Ovis aries: one gene and its partners. The protein of the gene in region 1 interacts with the protein of each later gene in a biochemical or structural test. Links are inferred from orthologs where the notes say so. Each region holds a gene or a part of one and is shown in the gene's direction. Other genes may lie near its edges.

The links.
Region 2: the proteins of CD244 (region 1) and SH2D1A interact in a biophysical measurement, tested with the Homo sapiens proteins (2 studies listed by IntAct). The link is inferred for Ovis aries from reciprocal best matches to the Homo sapiens genes CD244 and SH2D1A.
Region 3: the proteins of CD244 (region 1) and INPP5D interact in a biophysical measurement, tested with the Homo sapiens proteins (2 studies listed by IntAct). The link is inferred for Ovis aries from reciprocal best matches to the Homo sapiens genes CD244 and INPP5D.

Annotation. Positions count from the first base shown.
Region 1 is NC_056054.1:112,102,583-112,106,331, reverse strand, and holds the start of CD244 (natural killer cell receptor 2B4), read left to right. Parts: upstream 1-863; 5' UTR 864-1,084; coding exon 1,085-1,145; intron 1,146-3,558; exon of another isoform or gene 3,559-3,637; intron 3,638-3,749. UniProt on the Homo sapiens protein: Heterophilic receptor of the signaling lymphocytic activation molecule (SLAM) family; its ligand is CD48.
Region 2 is NC_056080.1:108,290,956-108,294,704, forward strand, and holds the start of SH2D1A (SH2 domain-containing protein 1A), read left to right. Parts: upstream 1-1,544; 5' UTR 1,545-1,719; coding exon 1,720-1,856; intron 1,857-3,749.
Region 3 is NC_056054.1:7,803,651-7,807,299, reverse strand, and holds part of INPP5D (phosphatidylinositol 3,4,5-trisphosphate 5-phosphatase 1), read left to right. Parts: intron 1-2,064; coding exon 2,065-2,261; intron 2,262-2,670; coding exon 2,671-2,788; intron 2,789-3,649. UniProt on the Homo sapiens protein: Phosphatidylinositol (PtdIns) phosphatase that specifically hydrolyzes the 5-phosphate of phosphatidylinositol-3,4,5-trisphosphate (PtdIns(3,4,5)P3) to produce PtdIns(3,4)P2, thereby negatively regulating the PI3K (phosphoinositide 3-kinase) pathways.

The DNA of each region.
Region 1 (3,749 bases):
GCTGCCTTTTTTTTTTTTTTTGGCAGGCAAGTCTTGCATTCTGCCTCCCCTCAGCCCAACTTCAGACACAGTGACTGGAAATGGATCAACAGATGGAAAAGGAGAAGAAAGGCTGAACTGAAGGGAACTGAAAATATTTTCTGCTGAGGGGAAAGCAGAAGAAAAAGAAGGGCAAAGAACTCTGGGTGCGGTCTCAAAGCTATTGAGTTCTGGGGAAAGTGGGATGCCTCCACCCCTCCATGGCAGTGTGAAGAGTCAAAGGCTGCCTGGCCTTTCTGGAAGGTGGGATCAAAGTGTGTGTTGGGGGGGGGCAGCAAAAATGGGTCTACATGCAGTCTGGGTGGGAGAAGCTGAGAAGAAAGAACTATTACGGGAAAGTAGAAAAAGAGGATGGGAAGGAATTTAAAAGTACATCGGAAGCTAGGCAAAAGGATATTATTATGGAAACATTTTAATTTGGATGTGCTTAAGGTTGAAACTTTGGTATCAACCTTCAGAAAACCCCCAGGCTGCTAGATTTTTCCAGTGCCTTTACTTGTCTCCTTTGGCATTTCACCTATTTATATAGTGATCCACTTTTCAATCTACATCCTTCCCAAACCCTCTGTCCTTCATCTTCACAATGTCTGTTGGGATTGGACAGGCTTACACAATGGCTGTTTGGTCCCCATATAGTTTTCTCTATATTGCCAGTAGGATGCAGAGAATTGGGAACTTTCTTGGGCATCTGTCCTTTAAACAAAGCAGCTGGGCTGGGGCAGAGCTCAGGACAAGATTTCTAAGTTGGTTTTGTGAGTCACTGTGTATTCTGAGCATCCGCCCACTTGAGGCGAACTTCGCAAGTTTAGCTTGTGGGAACTATCAGACCAGGTCCAGGGACTGGGGCTTCCTCAACAACCCTGCTAGCGTTCAGCTGATGAGAACATCCTCAAGCTGAGGAAATTGTGGCTGAAGCCTGACAGAGTTCTGCTCCCTGTCACCCTTCTGCTGATGGGTGGCTGCTGAGCTTGTGCAGGGCAGAGTATCTGGTGGGAGGGGAGCTGGCTTGACCCCTCTGTGAGCTTCTTACATTTGTTCTGTGGGCATGCTGGGGCAAGTGCTTGCCCTCACACTCCTCCTGCTCATCAAGGGACATCAGGGCCAAGGTAAGGAGGCCCAGCCTGGTAGGGGTGGGCTGGCATGGACCAGGAGCTGTGGCCTTCAGGGAAATCAGGATGTGAGCCTCCGGATTGTGCTGCTTACCTGGTCACCTGAACCTGTGACTCGGAGCAGCTCCCTGCAGCTCTGGGCAGGCTGGGTCAGACAGCAAAGGCTGGCAGTGGGTTGGGAGGTCTTTGAGAAGTGTGCATCTGGCCATGCCATCAACAATCCAGGCCACCTTGGCAAGGTGAGTCCTTCGCACCAGCTTCAGTTTTCCTTTCTGTCTAGGGGGGAGAAAGTGTCCTCTCTGCTGGCTGTAAGAATGAAATATCCTCTCATTTGGTGCAGTTGCCAAAAGAGAGAAGAAGCGGCCATGAACTTTCTCAAAGGAAGTCGAGTGGTTCTGAAGCTCAGAGACTGACAGATTATTCTCTGAGGCAGGAAAGTTGAGCCCTGGCAAGTGATAGGCGGTGTGGAGTGGGGGAGGGGGATAGGAGGCGTGAGATGAAGGCCTGAACAGAGGCTTTACTTGCAAGAGCTGGTCCCTCTCCATCAACTCTGTCAGCAGCCCAGAGGCCAAGTGAGCCTGAGAATTATTAGGGAAATGTTGACTGGGGGCTTTCCTAGTGGCTCAGATGGTAAAGAATCTGCCAGCAATGAGGGAGACTGGGGTTTGATTCCTGGGTTGGGAAGATCCTCAAGAGAAGGGAATGGCTACCTACTCCAGTATTCCTGCCTGCAGCGTTTTGTGCACAGAGGAGCCTGGCAGGCAGAAGTCCATGGGATCACCAAGAGTTGAACATGACTGAGTGACTAACACTTTCACTTTGGCTGGGGGCAGGGGGCGGGGAAGGGAAGAGAAGGAGACACTATTAGGAAGTTCCATCACAAACTGAAAACTCTCAGGTGGGCCCTGAGCCAACAAATGAGGGGGTAGGGAATCTCAATGAGGGGTGCTCCCCCTTTCTCTCCAACCTTGTCTAGGATGCTCTGAAACTTGGAGCCTGCATTTTAAATCAGTAACTCTTTGCAGGGCATGGTGAATGGAGGTGGAATGAGAGGAAGGCACACTTGGTTGCAAAGGGAGGAAACTGAGGCACAGGGAAGTGTTTGTTTAGGGCCTGTTACAAGCTGTCCCTGGGTACCCAGTTCAATCACTGAGCCCCTGGCACTCAGATATCCTTCAAGAAGAAGATTCTAGGCTCCGGCATTTGCATGAGTACAGGTGGAGTAGGGCATGGTGTGATGAGGAACAGGGAGCAGAGAGAGAAGTCTGGAGCCTGGGGATCATGTATGTGGGCTAGGCGGGGATCCAAAGATACAGGATCCCAGGCAAGAAAGCTAGATTAGAACCTTGAAAGCCAAGGTAGGACCCACAGGGTTTGATGCCTGGCTTTGGGAGTGCAGGAACAGAAGGTCCGGGCTGACTCTGAGATCATGAGCCTACATGATGCTCCCTCCATCCTTGTGGCACTGTCTCTGGGCACGGCCATGCCAAATCCATTGCAGGGGGAAGCCAGGTGGCGATTCTTTGAGCACTGGAAAGGATGGACTTGGGCCTTACGGAACTTTTCTCTCTTCTTACTATACACTGTGTCTGTGGGGCTGGCCTTGAGTAAGTTGACTGAAACTGCTATAGTTATTTGTTTCAATTTTTAAACGTCTTAGTTTAAAATAATTTTGACATTTCAGGGAAGTTGCAAGAATAGTACAAAGAATTCTTGTATTTCCTTCATCTAGATTCACCAGTTGTTAACATTTTATCACATTTGCTGTATTTCTCTTTCTCTCCAAATATATGCATGTGTGAATAGCTGTATAATAATAATAATTTTTTGTGGAATATTCAAGGGTAAATTGCAGACATCACCCCCTTTTACTCTTAACTATTTTAGCACACATCTTCAAAAACCAAGAATGTCCCCATATCATGATATCAGCACAGTTATAAAATTTAGTAAATTTAACATCAATGCAATCAAATATATAATACATATTTAAATATTACCAAATGTCCCCCCAGTGCTGTGTGCATGCTTGCTAAGTCGCTTAAGTCGTGTCCTACTCTGTGTGACCCTATAGACATAGCCCATTGGGTTTGTCTGTCCATGAGATTCTCAAGGCAAGAATACTGGAGTGGGTTGCCATGCCCTCCTTCAGGGGATCTTCCCAACCTAGGGGTTGAACCCACATCTCCTAGTCTCCTGTATTGGCAGGCGGGTTCTTTACTATTGGAACCACCTGGGAAGCCCCAGATGTGTGATATAACATCTTTTTTTTCCCATCCAGAATCCAACCAGGATCACATATTGCATTGTTATTATGTCTGTTTTTTAAATTATTTGTTTATTTGGCTGTATTGGGTCTCACTTGTGGTGCAAAGGATCTTCTTCGCTTCACGTGGATCTTTCATTGCAGTGCATGGACTAAACTCTCTACTAGCAGTTGGGTCTCTCGGGTTTCAGTATCGGAGACATGCAGGCTTAGTTGCTCCAAGGTACGTGGTATCTTAGTTCCTCAACCAAGGATCACACCTGTATCACCTGCATTGCAAGGCAGATTCTTAACCACTGGACCAGGGAAGTTCCAGTTGCTGTGTCTTTTTGGTC
Region 2 (3,749 bases), on another chromosome or scaffold:
TTGTTTTCAACCCTAGTGGATGGCAAATATCTGGCTTTTGGTGTAAGGCAGCTTTGCAACATCTGATCCATTGGTAGGACTAGTGAGGATTTAAAAATTGTTCTCCCTATTGGGGTCCCAGATGGGCCAGGCTCTCAAGGAACTAGGTGTGACATTGTTGAAGAGACACAACAGACAACATAATTTCAGCTACTTAAATTTTAATTTTAAAAAGTATTTTACAGGGACTTCCCTGGTGGTCCAGTGGTATAAGATTTCACCTTCTGATGTAGGGGGTGTGGGTTTGATGAAGACCCCCTGGAGGAGGGCATGGCAATCTCCTCCGCTGTTCTTGCCTGGAGAATCCCATGGACAGAGGAGCCTGGTGGGCTACAGTCCACAGGGTTGCAAAGAATTGGACACAACTGAAGCGACTTAGCATACATGCATGGGAAGCTAAGATCCCAGATGCCTTGCAGCCAAAAAACCAAAGCATAAAACAGAAGCAATATTATAAAAACTTCCATAAAGACTAAAAATGGTCTACATCAAAAACAATCTAAAAAGAAAAAGAAAAGTATGTTACACACTCAAAAGAAAAAATGTAGAAGAGCATTCAGCTTCAAACATTAAACAAGGTCTCGTTCTAGTGAAAAATGAGGAAGTTTGGGGGAAATATTACTTAACAGCACATCTTGAAATACAAGAGAGAAGGAAACAAAGGTTGAAAGGTTCTAAAAAATTTGATAGCTTAGCATCAATTGAACAAAAACCATATTCTCTACTAACTACAGATGATAAAAGATACAACGCAATTATCAACACTCACAATGGACTTAAGTTTGATGTCCCAAATGCTAAAAGGTAGGCCCTGTATGTCAAAAGGCACAGACAAGTCCGCATGAAGGCAAAACACCAATGAAATGATTTATTCTCTCATCTAAGGCCCATCAAATAGATACATCTGGAACATCTTTGGACACAGACTGATTTTTGTACCTCAACCAGCACTTTGGGATCTTGGACAAGAAGCCTGGAAATGTTTGATTTGTTCAGGATCAAGATTGCTGGAGATGACTAGGAGGAGTCAAAGAGAAGGGGGAGGGTTTGGGGAGGGGAGGCAGTGGATCCCAAGTCCGCTGTTCACTTCTTGCCTCTGATTCCCTAGGAGCCTCCTGCCTGTGCTCAGTGGGGATCACCCACTGACAATACTGATGACCTCTGTGTTTTGGTCTCAGAGCTTTTGGGCCTTTCATTCTCTGTCAGTATGTTTCTGCCCCACATGAAGATCAACACGGCTTCCCTGTCTCATTAACCCCTTTGGGGACTATTTAAGCTAAGTCAGGGTGGCCTTCCTGGGAAAACTACAAGGACAGAAACATTACCAGGCATTCGTGTCTGCATGCATTGGGAGCACAGGCCACATCCTGCAAGGACCTTCTTCCAATAGTCCTCCCCTCTCTGTCCATCCATCCACCCCAACCCTTTTGTGGCAGAGGCGGAGCAGAGAGGGGAGGGGGGAATTGAACCCTAGGGCAGTAGCCAAGCTGCTAAACTGCTGACCTGGTTTTCACTGAAGTGCGAGAAGGAGGCTGTGAGGCAGGTAGACAACATCCTGTTGTTGGGGCGCTCCTTTCTCTTTTTTGAACATCTGGCTGAACAGGGAGGCAGGTGGCTGAGTCGTGCCTGGTTGCGGCGGCAGCAGCAACAGCGGCCTTTCCCTGCTACTGTCCCCTGGCCATGGACGCGGTGGCTGTGTATCATGGCAAGATCAGCCGGGAGACGGGGGAGAAGCTCCTGCTCGCCACGGGCCTGGATGGCAGCTATCTGCTGAGGGACAGCGAGAGTGTTCCCGGCGTGTACTGTCTGTGTGTGCTGTGAGTACATGACGGGGCCCTGGAGCCCCCACTGCCCACCGTGCGGCTCACGTCCCTCACTGGGGTTGTCTCGCCTGGGCTTCCTGCTCTTCAGAGGGTCTTCTCCAGCGCCTTTGGGGGCGGCTGTAGGAATGCTCTTTGCAGTGGAGGAAAAGGAGCCTAGAATTTACCTTTGCTGCCAAAAGGACTCAGGCTCCTGGCTTCAGGTTGGACCTCTGGTAGAGGCCAGCAAGGTGGAGGCCTGGGATGAGGGAATGGCCAGATATAGGGCCACCAGCTCCTCAGAGGAGAGGCCTTTCTCTCCAGCCCTCTGGCAATGGCTTTGAAGGTATCTTCCCAAAGGAAGATTTCAAATTCAAGGAGAGGAAGAAGACTAAGAAATGGAATCCTTTAAGACAGCAATACCAGTTAGGTCAGGATGTGGGAGAGAGGGACGTTTCTGAATAAAACCACCTCTCTGGATTTGCTTAATTAGCTTTCTTTACAGGAGTTGGAGGGGGGTGGGGTGGGGTTTCAGAAATAGGGCCTTTCCGTGATAAACGCTGGGAGAGACAATAGTCGTAAAGGACATGGAGGGAAAGCACCCTGGTATGATTCAGCTTTGCCCTTTACCTAAGCATCTCTTGGTCTAAAGCCCCATTTTGAATCAGATGCACCTTCATCTTTGCTCCAGGGCTCCAGGGTCAGGCAGAGCTAAGACCTAATCTTGTGCTAGTCTGATGCTGGCTTTGGCAAGTTAACCTCACAGTCCCTCAGTTTTCTTGTCCAAAAAGTGTAATATTACTACCTACCTCATAGGACTGAGCATTAAATGCTGTAATGCACGTAGAAAATTTAGCACTGGACCTGATGCATACTAAGTGTTCAGTAAAAGTAAGCTGTTGTTGTTATTATTTTTTCACTCTCTTTCAGTACTTTTTATTATAATATATTATATATATATATAAAATGTATATATATTTCAGTCAATATCTTTAAGTACTCACGGGGTGTTTCTAAGGAAGTCCCTAGCTCAATCACTCTTTGTTAGCAGGGTAAAAACACTCATGAAAGCAGCAGCCCTGTACAGTAGCTTCTAGACAGAAACAAAATGAGGGAAAATGCTTGGTTGTAATTTTGGTGTCTGATGATACATGGCAAGATTTTGAAGTTCCTTTAGGTCATTGATGAGAGATTGTATTGAGCCTGGTGTTAGAGGATTTTCATTGTTTATTGTATTATTTTTAAATGGGCAAGGCATATTTGTGGCAACTCTCAGGCCATGCTAAAAACGTTTGTTATAAAAGCTACAAGGGATATATGTGCAAGCTAGTGAATCCCTTGGGCTCAGATTTTAGGTTTTCCTTATATTATTGTTTCTCGAAAGTGAAAACTGGGGTAGGTCAGTGAAAGCCAACTCGTATTCCTAGGCTCTTTTCTTATCAATAGAAGGTGGAGGAGTGAGTGAACTGGTGAGAGGAGCTTCTTTAGGAAAGCTCACCAAAGGAGGTAATGGGACCCTCAACCTAGAGGTAAAAATTAAGGTACAAAAGGCCTGGGAAGGGAAGGAAGAGCCGGGGACAGTGTGTGGCAGGATGTTCCTAAGACTTCAGACGCACTGGCCTCTTTGTTGTTTCTCGAGCTTGCCAAGCTGCTCCTTGCTTAGGATCTTCACACTTAACTGTTCCTTCTCCCTCTTCTCTCAGAGAGGACTTCCTTGACTAGCCTCTAAAATAAGTCCCTTCTCCCTGTCCCAGTTATAATCTGTCACTTTAGTTTTCTTCTGGGAGCTTTCAGCTGTCTGACGTTTGCTTGTCTACTTTTGTCTTGCTGGGCTCTCCTGCTACAATGTAATCTCTCTGGGGCAGAGACACCATCTCCCGCACCAGGAACACAGCCTGGCATGCAACAGGT
Region 3 (3,649 bases), about 100 Mb from region 1:
TTGATTTGGGCTGCCAGATTTATTGAGCGAGAAAGAGAAAAAAAAAAGATGATGCCCAGCTGAATTTGAATTTCATGTAAACAACAAACAACTATATTTTTTAGTATAAGAATTTAGCTAGAAAGACATACCTGTGTGTGCTCAATTGCTCAGTCGTGTTCGACTCTTTCTCTGTCCCATGGACTGTAGCCGACCAGGCTCTTCTGCCCATGGAATTTTCCAGGCAAGATGAGTACTGGAGTGGGTTGCCATTTCCTTCTCCAGCGGATCTTCTCGACCTAGGGATTGAACACGTGTCTCCTGCATTGGCAGGTGGATTCTACCACTGAGCCCCCTGGGAAGCAGAAATACATACTAAATATATATTAAGCTAAATATATATGCTATGTATATTTACATACTAATATATACCAAATATAATATCTTAAATACAATAACATACTATAGTAAGTATACTGAATATAATTACACTAAATAATTATTTAGTATAACAGTTCAGTTAGAAGTGCAAATATACACCAAATATCCTTTGTGCTAAACATGCATAGTGTATACTCAGGTGCTAATACACATTTTTACACTAATATGAATTATACTAAGTAATTACTTAGTTTAAATATTCAATTAGAAATTTTAAAAAATTGAGTAGATACAGAAGTTCCAGTCAATTTGAATTTTAGATACTGCACGGGACATACTTATTCCAAAAAGTATCCATTGGTTATCTGAAATTTGAATTTAACTGGGCATGTCTCCCCCACTTTGGTCTGGAGCAGAATCAGGACCACCACCCTCCCGATACAGTAGACCAGTCACCTGGGAGGAAGTGGCTGAGCAGAAGGAGTGGGAATCTGAATGAAAAAGCTGCATGGGACCCCTGGCCTGTCGCTGGGTGGAAGATGGGCTGGACTCAGGGAACTCAGGAGAGCTGTCCCCATCCTGGTTGCACTAGCCTCAGCTTCCCCAGGTCTTCATGCCCAAGAAACCTGAAGAGTCACAGCCACGCTGAAGTATTGGGTTGGTAAAAAATCTCATTTGGGTTTTACTGGAACAAACTTTTTGGTCAACCCAACAGAATGCTGGCCTAGTTCCTGTGTCCCTCACTCTCTGCCGTTGTTTCTTATTGGCCGCCTGAGTCCCTCCGCTCTAACACCTGGGGTTTCGTGCCCACAGGCACCTGGCCCTTTCCCCTCTTTCCTTCTGCAAGCATGGAAGTCTTTGATTTGGCTGTGCACCGTCCAGGTGAACAGCTGCAGACATGCCCTTCACACGCCATGGAAGGAACTGACTAGGGCAGATTGGGAGGGTCTCCCTGAGCAGAGACCACCAGGCCCCAGGGCTTATGTTCCCACCCTGAATCACAGTGGGAGCAGAGGTCAGGTCACTCCAGTTCTTGGCTTCTTGGCAGTCGTGAGCCAGGACGGTTTTCTCTCTGGGGGAAAAAATGTTGACTCAACCTCCAAGATTTGAGGGGAAATAAATCTTTATCATTGTTTCTTTACTGAGCTGTTTCGGCTCAGTTTTTGCAATGGCAGTGGAGGTGGGCAGTGGGTAGGGGCTCCAGGCTCTTCGGTTCCTCTGGCTGACTCCTGCATGGCCTCTCTCAGTGTTTGGCTAAGACCTCTCCTGTGCAATGAGGGCTTTGCTGTCTCCTAACTGTGGGTTAGAAGGCTCCATCCTAAACCTGTCAGTTGACAGTGCTGTCTCAATGGAGACAATGGAGAGTAATCTCCTCAAGGCCTGTGTCCCAGTTACCACTATAGCCCCAACGACTAGGACAGTGGCTGACATCTATGCTATGAGTTCAAGTTGCTATGTGGAATCTTTGGGTGCTTCTAGCCTTTGAAACTTAATGCTGTCTTTACAAAGCAATGTAACATCCTGGGACATGATAGTACCTAGCTCTGTACCTAAGGTATTTCGTTGGGTTTCACTGAAAACTGACTGGTTTTCAGTGACTTTGTGACCCTCCCTGCCCCACCCCTGACCATGTTTCCCCTACATCTGTTCTGACTTCTCCTGATGTACCTTTGACTCACTTGGTGTTGGGTTTTGCTGTTGAAGGTAACGCCCCCCCTCCCAAGAAGATCACGTCCTGGTTTCTCTCCAAGGGGCAGGGAAAGACGCGGGATGACTCAGCTGATTATATCCCCCATGACATCTATGTGATCGGGACCCAGGAGGACCCCCTGGGAGAGAAGGAGTGGCTGGAGATACTCAAACACTCCCTGCAAGAGATCACCAGCATGACCTTTAAAACAGTGAGTGGGGGCCATGGCCCCGGGTGGGACACCAGGGCAGTGGACCTGGCAAGTTGGGAGCATCTCCGGGGCAAGAGTGTGCTCAGTGGTCCCCCTGCCGTTCAGGGCCAGAGAAGGTCACCTGTATCCAATAATTAATGGTGTCCCTGGGCATTGCTAATCACTGGTGTGGTCCCTCTCCCTTGCCCGAGCTTGTAGGTAACCTTTACTTCCTTGAAATCTAGTCAGTGCTGGCCCTATCTTTAAGACACTTTGCATCACCTGTGAAGTATCCTTAGGGGTCCCCTAAAGTATAGGGATGACCGGCAGGCCGCCCCACACCTGAGGGAGAGGGCTGGGTGTGAAACCCTTGCTCTGGGGTCAAGCAGTGTGTCCTGGCCCAGGGTCACAGCACTGTCCCCCTCTCCAGATCGCCATCCACACTCTCTGGAACATCCGCATCGTGGTGCTGGCCAAGCCGGAGCACGAGAACCGGATCAGCCACATCTGCACCGACAACGTGAAGACGGGCATCGCCAACACGCTGGGTGAGCCGGGGTGGGGGGGGTGTGTTCTGCGTAAGCTCATTTCTGCCCACACTCGCGTGTCTATCCCTTCTGGGATGGGTGGTCCTCCCAGCCTCCACTTGCTCCAGATGGTCCTCCCAGACTACATGCACTCGGGGTCTACCCCAGTGCTTCTGAGGATCTGCCAGAATGCGGTTCTGACTCAGCACCTCTCAGGAGGAGCCAGACAGTTTTGTGTTTCTGACGAACTCCCAGTGGTGTCAGGGCTGCTGGCTGACAGACCCCACCTTGAGTGTCAGCGATCAAGGACAGGGGTCAATAGCCGTGCTGTGAAGGGTCAGGTAGTAAATATGTTAGTCTTTTCAGGCTATGTGCAACTTCTCAGCCCCGCTGCCAGCACACGAGAGCAGCTGCAGATAGCGGGAACTTGGAAGAGCACGGCCATGTTCTAGAGAACTGTGCCTACAGACGAGGCGGAGGCTTGATTCGGCCACGGGCTGTAGGTTGTGACCTCTGGTCTAGATCGAGAGACTCAGGCGGAGGTGGAAACGCTGCTCTCAGCCGTGAGCCAGTGGGACCGGTCAGGCTGCTTCAGAGGACTGACACAGAAGCGGAGGGCTGCGTGTGTGTGTGTGTGTGTGTGTGTGTGTGTATCTGTGAGTCTGTGTGTGTAAGAGAGCATGTGAGTCTGAATGTGAATGTGTGTGTGAGTTTTCTGTGTCTTTTCAGTCTGTCTGTGTGTATTTGTGAATCTGTCCGTCAGTGAGTGTGTGTGTGAGTCTGTCTGTGTCAGTGTGTCTCTCAGTCTGTGTGCATGTGAGTCTGTCAGTCTGTGTCAGTCAGTCAGTCTGAGTCTGTCAGTCTGTGTGTGTGTGTGTGAGT